Ovis aries: one gene and its partners. The protein of the gene in region 3 interacts with the protein of the main gene of each other region in a pairwise test. Links are inferred from orthologs where the notes say so. Each region holds a gene or a part of one and is shown on either strand. Other genes may lie near its edges. The genes, in order: GLIS3, HDX, SUFU and RCN3.

Evidence for each region.
Region 1: the proteins of SUFU (region 3) and GLIS3 interact in binary tests that used the Homo sapiens proteins (3 or more experiments, as listed by UniProt). The link is inferred for Ovis aries from reciprocal best matches to the Homo sapiens genes SUFU and GLIS3.
Region 2: the proteins of SUFU (region 3) and HDX interact in binary tests that used the Homo sapiens proteins (3 or more experiments, as listed by UniProt). The link is inferred for Ovis aries from reciprocal best matches to the Homo sapiens genes SUFU and HDX.
Region 4: the proteins of SUFU (region 3) and RCN3 interact in binary tests that used the Homo sapiens proteins (3 or more experiments, as listed by UniProt). The two-hybrid records come from large-scale screens. The link is inferred for Ovis aries from reciprocal best matches to the Homo sapiens genes SUFU and RCN3.

Annotation. Positions count from the first base shown.
Region 1 is NC_056055.1:72,610,513-72,614,610, forward strand, and holds the start of GLIS3 (zinc finger protein GLIS3), read right to left. Parts: upstream 2,820-4,098; 5' UTR 2,724-2,819; coding exon 2,336-2,723; intron 1-2,335. UniProt on the Homo sapiens protein: Acts both as a repressor and an activator of transcription. Binds to the consensus sequence 5'-GACCACCCAC-3'.
Region 2 is NC_056080.1:75,382,380-75,385,942, forward strand, and holds part of HDX (highly divergent homeobox), read right to left. Parts: intron 366-3,563; coding exon 240-365; 3' UTR 1-239.
Region 3 is NC_056075.1:22,878,988-22,883,157, forward strand, and holds the start of SUFU (suppressor of fused homolog), read left to right. Parts: upstream 1-1,354; 5' UTR 1,355-1,542; coding exon 1,543-1,724; intron 1,725-4,170. UniProt on the Homo sapiens protein: Negative regulator in the hedgehog/smoothened signaling pathway. Down-regulates GLI1-mediated transactivation of target genes. Down-regulates GLI2-mediated transactivation of target genes. Part of a corepressor complex that acts on DNA-bound GLI1.
Region 4 is NC_056067.1:55,701,013-55,705,274, forward strand, and holds the start of RCN3 (reticulocalbin-3), read left to right. Parts: upstream 1-1,431; 5' UTR 1,432-1,497; intron 1,498-1,911; 5' UTR 1,912-1,917; coding exon 1,918-2,159; intron 2,160-3,879; coding exon 3,880-4,082; intron 4,083-4,262. Other genes in the region: FCGRT (IgG receptor FcRn large subunit p51 precursor), read left to right, coding at 62-178, 486-565. UniProt on the Homo sapiens protein: Probable molecular chaperone assisting protein biosynthesis and transport in the endoplasmic reticulum.

The DNA of each region.
Region 1 (4,098 bases), on a different chromosome or scaffold from region 3:
TGGGAGATAGTGGAGGACAGAGGAGCTTGGCATGCTGCAGTCCCTGGGGTCTCAAAGAGTTGGACACAACTTAGCGACTGAACAGCAACAAATCCCCCAAACAGTAGCTCACCCATAACATATGCTTAATAATTATTTATAGAACAAATAACTCGATGAAGTTCAATCAGTTCCAGATCGCCATTCTCAGCTATTGGCTTAGTTCAGAAACTGTCAACCAAGATTTGAGGGGGACACAATCAGCCACTCCTGGTAACATCCGGGCCACTAGTGGCATCCAACCTGTAAGGTGAGGGAGAATAATAGTTGTCCTCAACTCCTTACCCATGTCCCTGCATGCCCTAATCATGCAGATCTAGAAAAGGCACTGCAAGCTTGGAAGCTAAGCAAGGACCCAGAAAATCAAAAAGAGGAGAATCAGGAAGCAGTGCTAATTTTTACATGAGTTCCATGATGAACTGCCCTGAGAGTTTGTTATTCCTTAAGTACCTGAACATTTTTTTATCAACTATGACTATAATTATAAACACACCTAGTCACTATCAAAGTAATATTCCCAAACTTCTTATTGCCTGACAAGGCTTAAGTTACTTATTTTTTTCTAGACTTTAATTCCTTTGTCATTTATTCAACAATAGCATACAACTCAGGAGTGTTGTGAGGAATAACTGAGATTATGTACTGGAAAGCACTTAACACAATGCCTAACACATGCTAAGTTATTATATAATAAGTACAAGTTTTTGATATTATCACCACTATTTCCTGCAAGTCAGGATTTCAAACACAAATATATGTAAAAGCAAGCTACAGTTCACTAGTCAAGCATGAGCTAAAAAATTGTACTGGGCCTCAGCCCCTGTAAATACAAACACATGAGCTTGACATTAAGAAACTTAGCTTGCCATGTCAGGAACACAGCAACCTAACAATGACAGAGCTATTTTGGTTGCAGCCCCCAGGGAAAATTTTCCTGTACTTACACTGGATATCAGTTAGCTCTGAGAAATAAGACAATTCAAAACAAACCTAGACCAAAATAAATAAGTAAAAAAGAAAAGAAAAAAAGTTACACATATGTTTAGGTTTTTTAGTCTATCCATTTATATCAACTTCTACATACTCAGAAATACATAGACACTAAAACAAACAACTTTTGGGTTACCTGCCTGATATAAAGCATTATTCATCATAACTGGCTAAGTTATGAGCTAACTAGGTAAACAGCCACTTACAAGGCTGCTAGTAATTTTATTTGGGGGTATAAACACGTGGAGGAGGAAATGGAAATCCACTCCAGTATTCTTGCTTGGAAAATCCCATGGACAGAGGAGCCTGGCAGGCTACAGTCCACAGCGTTGGGAAGAGTAAGACATGACTGAGAACGCACATACATAAACACTGAGTATAGGCATTTAAAACGAAATGGTAAAAATACCCAGAGGAAAATATAATCATGCTCTTCTATATAACAAAGCTATGTTTTATATAATATACATGCTCCTTTTTCTAGCCCCGATACACATATCATTAGCAATATAACCTCGTTAACGCAGTATCAGTTTCTAGACAGAGCAAGTCATTCAAATCATTTGTTATTCTCTGACAATTATTCTTAATTCAAAATCTATGGTAAAAAAAAAAAAGCTATGGTAATTCAAAACCTACTGCATTGGAAGCATTCTCTCTGCACTCATCTCTCTCAAATTGGCAAGTTTTTCTAGTTCTCCACAAGCATAGACATACATCTTTTCAATATACTTTTCTAGCTGCTTTCTCTATTGTCACCAGCTATGTTATAAAGATTATAGGTTTTGCTCTAAGAATATCTTTTTATCATTTTTTGTACTTGTTCCTCATTTTATTGGCTATTAAAATTTCTCCACTTTAAATCCTTTTCCTTCCAAACATCACCTTTCTTCTAGCATCCAACTAACATAATGACAGCTGCAGTCAGCCGTCTCCTCCATGGCCTGCAGAATCTAGCTCCTGGTAAGACAAGATGGAGCTCTGTGCATCCAGGGGGCAAGGTCTTGCTAAACATGCTCTTGGTTTCCTCTATGACACTTATGCTACCTCCTTGTTTCCAATCTTTCCATCTCTTCTTCAGCCCTGTTTCACAGTCCACGAAACAGTACATCTACCACTGTGGTGCCCTCGTCCTCACACAAATGTACACATTCACATCCTTTCCTAGGAAGCTACATAGCATTATGAGACTTTGAGCCTGACACTGAATCATGTATTTTTCCATAGGATTTGCTTGCAGAGAAGAGACAAGGGAGAGAAAAACAACAGTGTCCACTTTTAAAAGATCCCAGAAAGACAATCCTACCTTTCCCAGAATTTGGAGGAAAGGGGCTTCCAAACTCCGGCTGCTTTGGCTTTACCGTGTGTGGCCCTGACACGCCTCCAGCCTGGGTGACCTGGAAACGTGGCTTCCCACTGGTGAGCACTTGTCTGCTGGGGCTCAAGGCAGGCAGATGGATGGGGCTCTCATTCATGTTGCTCTGAGGAGCCATCCCTCCTCCTGAGGGCATCTTGAGATGGAGGCTGTTAGCAAGGCTTCCAATGGCAGAGCTTGTTGTGCTGCCACAGGGTGAGGGGCCAGGAGTCCCCGAATGGGCTTGAATGGGAGGGATGTGTTGGCCACTGACCATCCCAGGCCCCTGTGGGGTTCCTGATGTCCGGTGGAGATTCATGCTGCATGACCTTCCATTCATTCTGAAAAAACCTGTAGTCAGGTTGGTCAAATATCCAATGACACTAATGATTCCTTTCAGGCAAAGTCCAATAAGTTATCCATGGTGTGGTTTATTAGCCTGTTTAAAAAAATAAATGCAGGCATTTTTAAAAGTAAAAAGGAAAATAAGTTACAATGAGCTTTCAACCTGTGTAGCATTCATATCAGGAAGCACTCAGCAAAACGGTCTTTTATGTAGAACATGGTTATCAAATACATGGTTCATTGGCAGGCACTCTCCCCTCCTGCATTCATGGTGGACATGGATTATGGATCACTGCATTGTTTTGTTTTGTTTGCCACTGAAATGTTCTCAATACAGTGCTCTTGGCAACTATAACCAATCTACTGGTGCCAGCTCGCAAAATGAAACTTATTTTGCTCCATAGAGGATCTGTCTGTACTAGCTCACATTTGTTATGGTGCATCCTGGGAAACCCAAATGCATCACCATCATGAGCTGTAAGACTACTGCTCAAAGGTTTCCAGTAAACAAACAGAAAGATGATATAAACTCTAAATGAGATTGTGAGGACATTAACAAGCAATTTTTTCATGGTCCCTAGATTAACAAAAGATTTTTTTAAATAGGCATGGTACTTTCATAAAGGTTTCACATATCTAAATATTTACAGCAGCATTAGAGTCTTAGTTCTATGTTGATCCCGAGTTTATGGGGATGAAAATATAATCAACATCACAATACTCTCACCTTTCAGTAAGATCCTAGAAAAGGATAAGGCTGTGTGAGATGCTTTACAGAGAGCATAAGGACGAAACAACCCTTCTCAAGGTGAGTATGCTCACCATGTACCATGCACAGTAAACTGACAGCAGTTCCACGAAGCTTCCATCTGCCGTCCGGTCACCCCCTTTCTCAAATAGCAGAGGGAGAACCAAAAGTAGTGACGTGGCCACAGGACATCATCATCCATCCGTGCGTCACTACTCCCTGGTTACAAATCATTCAGAAAGGCTTTTTCCTCTCTTGATCTATAGTTCCCTAATGTATGTCTTGCCATGACTAAGGACTAAGTGCCACTACTCCAAATAAATGACAGACTCAGTGGCAATTTGAATTCTTTTAAGTAAACGTGACAGTCATGGGAAGAAGCCGTTGGACAAACAAGAAATACAGACTGGGTGCAAAGTAGTAATGGCCAGATATCCTCAACTGGATGAGTCTTCCTTTTTCCTATGGTCCACTCAATGTCTTAGATGAATATTTCCAACTCACCTCCCAAAAGAATGCCCCATAAATCATCAAGCACAGGATATCAACCATGGTAACCTTTTTGTGAGGAGGTTTTCTTTTTTCTTTATCATTTTAGAAAATCAGAAATACAGGTATCCTT
Region 2 (3,563 bases), on a different chromosome or scaffold from region 3:
CCATCAGTTTGGGAAAAAACTCTCAAACAATGCTTTTAAATTTTACAAACTTTTTTTTGTACCATCTGTACCATTTTGCACCACAGCCATTATATCTCGTTCATCCTTCACAGAATACATTGCTTCAACAATATATTTTTCCAACTGAAGAATTTTGGGGCAGCACAATACAACTATCTTGAAATGCATACTTGTTGGGTAGCCAAAAGGCTGTATCATATATCCCTCCCCCACCCCAATCACAAACTGTCTGAGGCATTTTTCTCTGATAAAGAAGACACACTGAATGAGGTATCATCAGGCTCCGGCGAGGCATGATTGAAATCCATCTCTTCTAATTCAGGAGGTAAATCTGACAGCAATGCCTGAGTCAGAAAAATCAATTGTTTTGAATTAGTATTTGAACATATTTTTCCAGCTTTATAGTTGTGGTCCTTTCACATTGATTTATTCTTACAGATTTAAAGAAAGGAGCATTTCTCTCTCAGAACCTTGTACAGCATCTTTTCTAAGAGAAAAACTCTTCATATACTCTTAAGGAAGTAATAAAATACTAGATCTTGAGAGTGTGGGTTATGTAGAGTGTAACCTACAAAGAGGGAATGATGAGAGAAATGAGCAACTACTCTGAACCAAATGCTCTGAAGTGTCTGAGATAAGTGGTTTTCATATCAGTTTTGATTGTTCAGTGATCATTGCTAAAGGACTTTAAAATTGTATGTGAGGTGAGGTGAAGTCACTCAGTCGTGTCCGACTCTTTGTGACCCTGTGGACTGTAACCTACTAGGTTTCTCTGTCCATGGGATTCTCCAGGCAAGAATACTGGAGTGGATTGCCATTTCCTTCTCCAGGGGATCTTCCCGACCCAGGGATCAAACCCGGGTCTCCCACACTGGAGGCAGACACTTTAACCTCTGAGCCACCAGGGAAGCTCAAAATTGTATGTAACTTATTAAAATACCCCTGCCCAGTTATACTGTCTGTCACACTAAAACACAGTTCACAAGACTATTTTGTACTTCAGTGGGAGAAGTAATTAAGCAATTAGGGGAAAAGTTCAGCTATTCTATTTTAGATAAAATTTTAGCATTTCAAAAGTCCAAGTGATTTTTTTTTCTTTCCTTAGGCTATGGTCATATCTACAGATGGCCAAGCATTCATAAAGGCTCTGCTGAACCAGTGAATTTGGCTGTGTAATGATGTTTTTAGAGGACTGCTCATCTCTCTTCTGGAGTAATTAGGATAAGGCAAGAGCCATGAACTAAGTTTTGCCATGGTGTAATTGTTCCATCTGGAGTTGCAGAATATGCATTCATACTAGAAAAATAATTAATCAAGTTTTATCTGGCTGGTAGTGTTGATGCCCATTTGACCATCAGAAATGGCAAACTAAATGAATGGTTTGCTGCTCCCAATACTAAAAATAATGTAACATATCTCGACAATTTTTAGACAACATTAGTTGTAGTGTTAGCTTTGGGTGCAATAGTAAAAAAAAAAAGATCAAGTGCAGGTTTGCCTCTACCCAAATAATGAACAGAAAGACAGGGCATGTTAGAGAACACATGAAATCCACTGCTGAAATAAGACAGTACTCTCCTATTCTCTTTATTAAAAGAAGTGACAGTTGTAAATCCTATAGTTTTTGTTGTTGTTGTTGTTGTTTTAGAGGAAAGATTAGAACTTTCTGTCAGGCTGCAAAAGGAAAGGCTAACTCCTGTCTGTACAAAAATTTATTTATTTTTTGCTATTAAATTGTTCATGAACTTCTTGGTGAAACTCAGAGTACTGTTTACAAAGCAGTCACCTAAAGGTACTACATGCTTCCTAAGGTTTCTAGGTTGCAGTAATAGGGCACAGAACCATTTTCTTCTAGGTCAGTTGTTTACCACTAACCCAGTATAGTACAACAAAGCCTTTGCTGACAGTGGTTGATCATAGTTTACGAGAAAGACATCACTGGATTTATTTCACTTTGCAAGTGCAAAGAAGCCATACTAAAGAGGGCAAAGTGTTCCAATGAACAAAGCTTAGCATACTGGAGAGTCATGTAGGTGAGTAGACTTAACAACATTTAAATTCTAGCGAGGAGACCTTAAAATCAAAGAAGCACTACTATGTATTTCTTTGTCATTGCATTTAATGTAGTTGCCTGACTAAAATCAGTGCAGTATGAAATAGGAAAACTTTAATATCTGAGGCAGAACAAGGCACTGCTAATGCATGAGGTCCATTTAAAAATATTCCTTTTTGATATCTTTTTGTATTGCAACACTGAACAAATCTTCAGATTTTGTCAGTTGCTAGAACTGTCTTTTTCATAGACTAAAGTGAACACAATGAACTTGCTTCACTCCAGGTTCTCTACCAGTCAGAGTGTAACCTACTGCCATTCTTCCCAAGAGATTATTGCATTTCTCAATAGAATAGAATCACATAGTGAATTATCAAGGGAAGAAAGATCATAACTAATGACTTAGTACAGTGCTGACAACATTATTTTTATTTAAAAATGGCTATTGGTTTGGATAATCTAATATTCAGTCAGACATTATCGTATATTTTCAAACCCTGGACTGATTCATGGTGGCAAAATATTCTGTGGTTCACTCATCTTACTCAATTTACCCAAATTAAGATTAACAGAAAAACAGGATTTTAAAATGAGAAACCAATGACACAATGATTCTCTTTTATTAGGCAGAATAAAAATCAAGTCCTTCCCGAAATAAACCTTTAAGCATTTCATGGAGTAAAGATCAGTAATTTAAGAGATGACTTGGGTAACTTTTGTGTTGGTATCTTCTATATTTTTAGACTGTATTTGGAGATCCATTATACCCAATCTCAAGTACAAAAATCAGTATTTTGTACTTGGATGCTGATTATATAGGCTATGATTTTCAGTACAATTTTTGTATAACTATCTCTTTTCCCCCCCAGCCAATGTTTTGTCCATATCTTAGTTCATCAGCCTTTTTCAGAGGAAAAGTAGAAGAAAAGGGCAAAAGTAAAATGCACAATAGGTACTTTTCTTATTTTTTTAGTGGTTTTGGGGGAAGGATAAAACCAGGTTAGAATAAGAAAATAAAATGCAGCTTGTGTGCTATTCCTAGATATAAAAAGTCATAGACAACTGCGAATAAACTGACCACATAACTCTGAAATACAAACCATGCGTGACTTTTGGGACTAAGACCACACTCCAAATTACTCCCATATTGAACCTAATTCTATTTTTCCTGTTTTAAATATTAATGTAATTAAAAATTACAGTTCTTTGGGGACCAGGTTCAAGACTATCATCTTATTCATTTAAAATCTGTATTTTAGGTTCCTAAAAAACAAATACATTTTCAATATGCCATGGAATATGCTTAGCTCACGTAATAAACCAAAATGCTTAAATAAAACAGACAAATATGACTGCTAACTACCATCTTGGGATGTCTGTGTGTGTACAGCATGGGTGGAGCACAATTCATGAAACTGGACACATAATTTACATGCTAGATTAAGCCTTATGAGTAAACTATAGCTTAAATTTTGTGGTTCACTACTTT
Region 3 (4,170 bases):
AGTCAGTGATGCCTCCAAACATCTCATCCTTTGTCGTCCCCTTCTCCTCCCACCTTCAATCTTTCCCAGCATCAGGGTCTTTCCCAATGAGTCAGTTCTTCCCATCAGGTGGCCAAAGTACTGGAAATAATCAACAAAATATTTTTGGTTGATTTTCTCATGTTTTTCCTGGAAAGGTGTAAACCTGGCAACATACTAGTATTGGTCTGAAGACTGACATTTGGAACTACTGGTACAGATGATCTTTTGGTCATTAAAACATCCTTCATCTAATAGCTTCATAACTGTTGTCTCTCTCTGTCTCTCTTTAGTCGCTAAGTCATGTCTGACTCTTTGTGATCCCATGGATTTGTAGCCTGCTAGGATCCTCTGTCCATGGGGTTCTCCAGGCAAGAATACTCGAGTGGGTTGCCATTTTCTTCGCCATAGGATCTTCCCGACCCAGGGATCGAACCCAGGTCTCCTGCACTGCAGGCAGATTTTTACCGACTGAGCTGCGAGGGAAGCCCAGGAACTGCTCTAGTATATCTTTAATTTTCATGGGGAGCTAGAAATCCTAGGGACGGGGGAACCTGGTGGGCTGCCGTCTATGGGGTCGCACAGAGTCGGACACGACTGAAGCAACTTAGCAGCAGTGGCAGCAGCAGAAATGACACTGATGAATGAGAAAATGGAATTGAGAGATTATGTGTTACTGCTTTCTAAGGAGCCCAGTGCATTTTTCTCTAATAAATTATTTCCTCTTTTCCTTCATGTTGTGGGGATCTTTAGTTAATAGCCAGTAGTCAGGACTTTCCGCCAGTAGTCAGGACTTTCCGCCAGTAGTCAGGATTCTCTTCTATCCTTTTCTCTTGAAATTTCAAGATTATTGAGTGGAAGACATTACTATAAGTAAAGTTATTGCAGGCAGGAAAATAATTTCCAACCCGGTGCCTTAGAAACTAAAAAATCCCGTTTTTAATGCTACATGGACGAAGGAAGCAATCCATTGTAGCAATCCATTGTTACATTTATGTTTAAATCCTTCTGAAATAAATAAATTAAATAAATCCTTCTGAGCATCGTATTAGCATAACAGTGACATGCTTTTTGTCGGCGCACTTCCCAAAGCTTTCTTGGGTCCCTAGCACCTCAGAGGATGTCCCAATATCTCTATTTAATCCTGGGCTCCTCCTAACGCTAGGGGGAAGCGAAGAGCCTTGGAACACCCCCACAACTCTGGGAGAGAGAGGGAGGCGGGACCTATTGTCAAGTCACGCCTTCCCTACCTGTGACTGGCACAGACATTGGCCAATGGAACCGGAATAGGGCGCGCCGGCACCCCGCCCCCTGAGCGCCCCGCGGCCCCCGAGGCACCCTCTGGCCGTCTCCACCGCGGCGACGGCCTGGGCGGACAGTGCGCCTTGCGCAGGCGCGGAGCCTAGACCTCGCTGCAGCCCCCATCGCCTCCGGGAGTCGCACCCAAGGAGTTCGCCTGCTGGCGCGTCAGTGCTCTCCCCCTCGTCTGCCCTCCCCGGTCCCCCCAGCACCCTACGCGCCCCGATGGCGGAGTTGCGGCCTAGCGGCGCCCCCGGCCCCACCGCGCCCCCGGCCCCTGGCCCTACTGCCCCTCCGGCCTTCGCGTCGCTCTTCCCCCCAGGACTGCACGCCATCTACGGAGAGTGCCGCCGCCTGTACCCAGACCAGCCGAACCCGCTCCAGGTTACCGCTATCGTCAAGTACTGGTACGTCTTGGGCCGCGCGGAGACCGACAGGGGCGGGCTGAGAAGGGTTAAAGCGCCAGGAGCGAAGTAATTTGCCAGGGAATTGGAGGGGAAAGGAGAGTGGTTAAAGCACTTGGAAGAGGGCTTCCTGCTGTGAGGGAAGAAGTTAAGGCTCAAGTTAGGAATGGGGACAAAGGGGTTAACGAAGCCTGCGGGTAGCGAAGGGTTAGCAAGGGAGGGGAGGATGAAGGGTTAACTGGCATTAGAAGAATGGAGTGAATTGGGGGTGTTGGTAGAAGCTGAGGGGGCGACGGTCGGAGAGAGGGAACTGTAAACGTGGTGAAAGGAGGGGGCGCCTGGAGGGGGTCTAAGTGGGCGCGTGGAAGCCGAAGGGGGGCGGCTGAAGTGAGATGGGGGAGGCGAGGCGGGGCCTGAGGAGCATCTGAGAAGGCTTTGGAGCCGCGCGGCCGGAGGAGCTCCGAGCTCGGAGGGCACGGGACTGCACAGGGTAGGGGCGGGTGTGGGTCTGTGGGTTAGGATGTGAGCGTTGAGCTTGTGAGGGGATGAGGGGGAGGTCTCATTTTGATACCTTCCGGATGAGCTCAGACATTCATATCAGTGCAGTGCTTTTGCGTTTGAAGTTTGATGGAGCAGCTTCTCCCGATCAACTTTCTGCTTACTCTGCACAGTTCTCTTACTCCATGCAGAGCTTCCTCTGGCTCCGCGGCTGCTTTGGTCTAGGTCACTGGCTAGAACAGGGGCAGGCTGGGTCAGGGAGATCCATGGTTTGGCTCAGGATTGAAGGAGGCTGCTGTTAACGACGAAGATCCGGAACTTGGACACGGGAGGATCCTTCAGTGAGATATTAAGAGTAACTTTGTGGGCTGGAGCGCCCAGATGTAGGCAACAGTTCCTCAGGGGAGCTGAGAGTAATCCCTAAGTAACTCTGTTAAGATCAGACCTATGTACACATGGACTGCCCCTGGGGAAGGAATGGTCTTTTCTCGTTTCCCATTCTTTTTGTAACCTGTTTCTTCGTGCCACCTCTGTTATGGGGACTCTTCTTCATGGTCTTGCTGAACTAAAAGTTGACTAAGAAACTAGTTGAATCTGTACAAAACCACTTTCATGCAGGCACTGTATTAGATGAACTCCTTCATTGGCTCCTAAAAGACTGTTCAAGGCAGGCACTTGGGGTGTGACCAAAGGGGAGGTACCCCCGAAGGGGGAATGAGTAGAGTGGATGTCTTTACTGGTTACCTTCCTTTAGGGCTGAGTCTTTTCCCTCCCTGGCAACCACTTACTTCTTCTGGAGATTGCAGGAGCTGGGCTGCCTAGGGCGGAGGCCAGCTCCCTATGTCTGTGGGAGGCTGTGGAGAGGCTGACAGTGTGAAGGGCCTGGGGAGCAACCACCTGCTCCGTGGGGAGAGCGGCAGGAGCAGCCTGCCTCTGTCTGGTAGCCAGAAGGAGGTGTGGCCTGCAGCACAGTTTTCTCTGGCAGGCACGGTGTTCTTTGGTTGAGAGGAGTTTTTGAAGAGGTCTTCTGAGTAAAAAGCAGCTCTTGATAACTTAATCACTCATTTTAAACTTTTTATTTATTTTCATCTACAAATTATGGCAATTTTATTTCATTTTTATCATTTTTTTTACCATTTACTTCTTTTTCTTGACTTATTGCTATCTGGTATAATTTCCTTTCAGTACATAAACTTTTTATTTTAAATTGGTATATAGCCGATTAACAATGTTTGTGATAGTGTCAGGTGAATGGTGAAGGGACTCAGCCTTACATACACATATAGCCATTCTCCTCCGAATTCCTCTCCTCTCCAGACTGCCACATAACATTGAGCAGAGTTCCATGTGCTATACAGTAGGTCTTTGTTGGTTTGTACCACTATATTTAAATATGTACAGTGATGGACTCTATTGGCATACTTCGTGAGAAAAAGGGGACCTGCCTCTGGCATGCTGTTTGTTCAGGCCTTGTTTGAGTATAAGGAGAAATCCCCTCTCAGACTTGGGCCACTGTTATTATGTCACCCAAGTGGACATGAAGGATAGAGTTGTAAAAGGTGTTGAACACGGGCTCCCCTGGCGGTCCAGGGGTTAAGACTCTGTGCTTCCACTGCAAGGGGTATGGGTTCGATTCCTGGTTGGGGGAGTTCCACAAACCATGAGGTGTGGCAAAAAAGAAAAAGATATTGAACACATGCAAAGGACTAAGATTAGTTTGGGAATCTGCTTTTTCCTCCATCTCCCTGTGAACCTTTTTTCCCATGTTGCTGCAAGTTTGTTAACCAAGTCAGGACTTATCTTAAAAGATGGGCCAGCATCTAATGATGAATAAAAACGATTGTATAGCACTTTGTGAAATTAGAAATGCTGCCTGGATACAGAAATAAATGAGAAGAAACAGCCCAGGGACTGGTTCTTTCTAAAATTCAGAAGGGGTTGCATAATTAAG
Region 4 (4,262 bases), on a different chromosome or scaffold from region 3:
TGTCCTGACTCAGATGTGGCGGAGGGTCCCTTAAATATCTCACAACATTGTCTGACTGCAGAATCACCAGCCAGAACCTCGATGCCAGTGGTGGGAATCGTCATCGGCTTTTTCCTGCTCCTGACAGTGGCTGCGGGCGGAGCTCTCCTGTGGAGAAGGATGAGGAAGGGGCTGCCAGGTGTGGGACAGGAAGAGGGAGGTGCCTCAGAGAGAGGGGTAGAGACCCCCTCCAAAATCGGGAGACTCATTCCTGCAGGGACAGAGGGGGACAGAGACCCAGAGAGAGATGGAGAGAAAGAAAACTGGAGGGGAGAAAGAGACTCAGGGGGATAGAAATCCATAGCGTAGGACAGAGACTGAAAAAGACACAGACACACACAAACAACACACACCACACACACACATACACATACGTGGGGAGGGGCAGTCAGAGACCTGAAGGATTTCAAAGATTCTAATCATCTCCCCTGTCCCTCTTTTCTCAGCTTCTTGGATCTCTTTCCGTGGGGAGGATGTAGGGGCCCTCCTGCCCACTCCCGGCCTGTCCAAGGATGGTGAATCTTAGGATAAAAATGCGTTCCCAGCAACTGCCGATCATCCCCCATCCTGGCTGTTACCAGCTAATGTCCTCAGGTCCTTTTCATGCTGTGAGACCTCCGGGAATCCTGGTATTTTTGAGCCTCCGGAAGGAGCCCAATGTCCTCCCTCTGGATTTCTCCTCCTGTGATCTGCCTCAGTTCCCCCTCCTGATATATATGGTTCTTTTCCAGCTCCACATATAACATGGGTTTAGGCCCGAATCGTTGTGTTCTCATCGTTTCAACTTTTTTAGGGAATTGTGAGGGGGGATAAATGGTGTAAGCCTTGGGCTTCAAATCTCTCCTGAGGCTAACTTGTTGCCATGGTGGAATTTGCCAACTTTATATACCAAGTCATGTATTTTTAATGAATAAATTTCACAAATATTTACTGGATGTTTGTGCCAGGCATTTTGAGGAATTCTTGGCTGGAGTCTGATCTGACTTCTTGGTGTAGCGGAAGAGATGTTCCCTCCTTGAGGGAAAGGAAAGCCTCCTCTGGCTCCTAGGTTCCCTTTCCTAAAACCTGCGGACAAAGGGAAAGAGATAAAAATACATCTCCCGTGAGGCTTTGAAGCTAGAGCAACTGGAGGTGGTCGGGCAGGGCGCCCCGACGCCTGCCGGGAGTTGTAGTTCCCCCGGCCGTGTCACTCCGGATTTGCCCACTTCGCCTTCACTGGGAAGGGGCGGGGCCGAGCCTCGCGGGGCCGCGCTTTCCTTTGTGGACGTGGCGAGGGGCGCCTTTGGCCCGCCCCGCTTCTTTGGCCCCGCCCCATGAGGCCCTCCAGAGCGCTCATTGGCTGGGGGCGGGGCCTCTGCGCTTCAGGAGGCGGGGCCTGACTGGAGAGCCGCCAAATTGGGCATCTTTTTGGAGAACGCAGGGTGGAACGTGGAGAGCGAAGTGAAGCTATCTGACCCGGTAAAGGGAGGCGGGGGCGGGTGGCTTGTCCAGGGAGGACGGTTTGGGTCCGCTTGGGTGGAGGATTGGGGACCAGGCTGAAAGCGATGCCCGGGAACCTGCAAGATTTCTCTCTGGACACTACCCTGCCCTGAACTACGCGTGGGAAGTGCGCCACGTCTCCCGCTTGAATCCTACCCTCTTGGGGTACTTCTCTGGGACTTCCTCGGAGGATTCGGTCCCTACAGCTGGTTAACCTCTGAGAATCCCGCCTTCCTTCCCCCCTTCCTGTCCCTTCTTGAGGCCCAAACTTTGCAACCAGCTACCAGCTCTCTGTCCTGTCCTGGGCTCCCCCCTGCCCGCGTCCCCATCCCTCCCATCCCCTCTCTGTCCTTTTCTCTGTGACTCTGACTCCTAGCCTCCGCCACTCCTCAGGGACTGATGATGTGGCCACCCTCACTTCTGCTGCTGCTGTTGCTGCTCAGGCGTGGAGCCCAGGGGAAGCCGTCTCCTGACGCCGGCCCTCATGGCCAGGGGAGGGTGCACCACGCGGCCCCCCTGAGCGAAGCCCCTCATGATGACGCTCACGGGAACTTCCAATATGATCATGAGGCTTTTCTGGGACGAGAAGTGGCCAAGGAATTCGACCAACTCACCCCAGAGGAAAGTCAAGCTCGTCTGGGGTAGGAGAGATGGAGGGGAAGGAGGATTGTAATTTTCAAGAGGAGGTTAGGGGAGCCCTTAGTGAGAAGGTGATATTTGAGCCACTTGGGTATATGGGGGAATAGCATTCCAGGAAGAAGGAACTGTAAGTGCAAAGGCCCTGAGGCAGGAGGGGGAATTATGTGCCTCGTGTATTTGAAAAAGGGAGAGGTCTATGTGACTGGAACCCAGTGAGCAGAGGGAGAAAGTAGGAGGTAGTAGCAGAGAGAACAGAGGGATCAGGTTGTGCAGGGGACCCAGTGAGATGAGAGCTATGCAATGGCTCTGAAGGAGGAGGTGAGCCGACTTCAGTTTTAACAGGATCCCTCTGGTTGCCATGCAGGGAACAGACTATAGGGAGCAAGAAGTAGAGAGCACGTTGAGGAAGGGACTGCAGTCTTCCAGGTGGGAGATAAGAGACCAGGGTATCCCAACTCAGGGTGGAGATGTCCGTGGTGGTCAGCTATGCTGACTAGAATGTTGTGCATGGATGGAGTTGGATGAAGTAGGCTAACGCATTTGTGGTCGCGCTTACTACAATGCCCAGCACCATGCAAAGGGCTTACCAGGCTTAACTCATTTAATCCCAACATCCACAGTGTGAGGTATGTTCTATTACTTATTCCCATTTTACAGAGGGGGAAACTAAGGCACAGAGAGGTTATATGACTTGCCGACCGTCACACGGCCAGCAAGAAGAGGCAGCAGGATTTGAACCTTAATGTTTGGCTCTAGAGTCCAAACTCTTAACCACAGCTCGAACCTCAGGGTAGCCGGAGCAGAGCAGAGACAACATAACGCTGGAGGGACGGGTCAGCGATCTAGGCAGGGCCATCTCAAATTGGATTCTGGGAACTGGGTCGAGGGGCTTTGGGATGGAGACCGGAAGAAGGGCTCCGTTAGCGGTCGGGCGAGGACACAGACCAATGACGGGACGTTACCAGGGATGGAACCTGGGAACCGACAGGCGTGGCCTGAGAGAAGGGGCATGAGGTGGTGGCCTAAAGGGGCTTGACCTGAGACATGGAGGTGTGCAGGATCAGGCTGGAGCTCGGAGAGGAGTGGGTGAAGGCCGAGCCCGCCGTGTTGGGGGTGACAGTCATAGGGCAAAGCCTGATAACGGCTAGGAAAAACCAGGCGCAAGGGGAGAGTCGCAGCATAACTCGGGACTGCAGGGATATTGGCCTGAGATAGACGCGCGCGGCCAGGGAGGGGGCGGGGCCAGGGACGGGGAGCCGTCCGGACCTCGTGTTGCAGTGGCAGTCGGAGTTCAGAGTGGATATTGGGACAGGGAATCTGCGGGCGATGGGCGCGGTGTGACTCCCTGCCCTCCGTCCCCTCCCAGCTCTTTCAAGTGAGAGATGGAACACGCGCAGGGTTGAGAGGTGGGGCCAAAGTGGAGGGTTGGACGTGGATTGTCATGGGTCCTTCCCCCAAGCCGTCGAGTTGTAGAGCGGAGCGCCAGCCACAGGCCCGCTGCATCTCGGCATAGAGGTTATCGCCTCTGGGAGCGGAGCCTGGATTGAGAGGGCGGAGCCCTCTGGTGGGAGTGGTCCTGGGATTGACAGACTCCTCCCCCCGGTTTGTCGGCAGGGACAGCATTTTCAGTCCTATATGGGGCTGTGTCTCCAGTGTCTAGCAGAAGGCGGGACCCGGGGTGGGCGGGGTCCGAGACTGACGTGCGCCCGCCCCGGCTCGCAGGCGCATTGTGGACCGCATGGACCGCGCCGGAGACGGGGATGGCTGGGTGTCGCTGGCCGAGCTCCGCTCGTGGATCGCACACACGCAGCAGCGGCACATACGGGACTCAGTGAGCGCGGCCTGGAACACGTACGACACAGACCGCGACGGGCGTGTGGGTTGGGAGGAGCTGCGCAACGCCACCTACGGCCACTATGAGCCGGGTACGCGGCGAGAACCGACCCCTGGTCCCCTCACACACCGTGACCCGGACATTTGTGACACCTTCATCCTGAGACCCTCAAGCCACGTTAACCAGATCCCTAACCTTTGACTTCTGACCCTTGACTAGGGCCCACCCCCAATCCCTGATCTCTGGTTTCTCATTCTGACATCCACTGGGG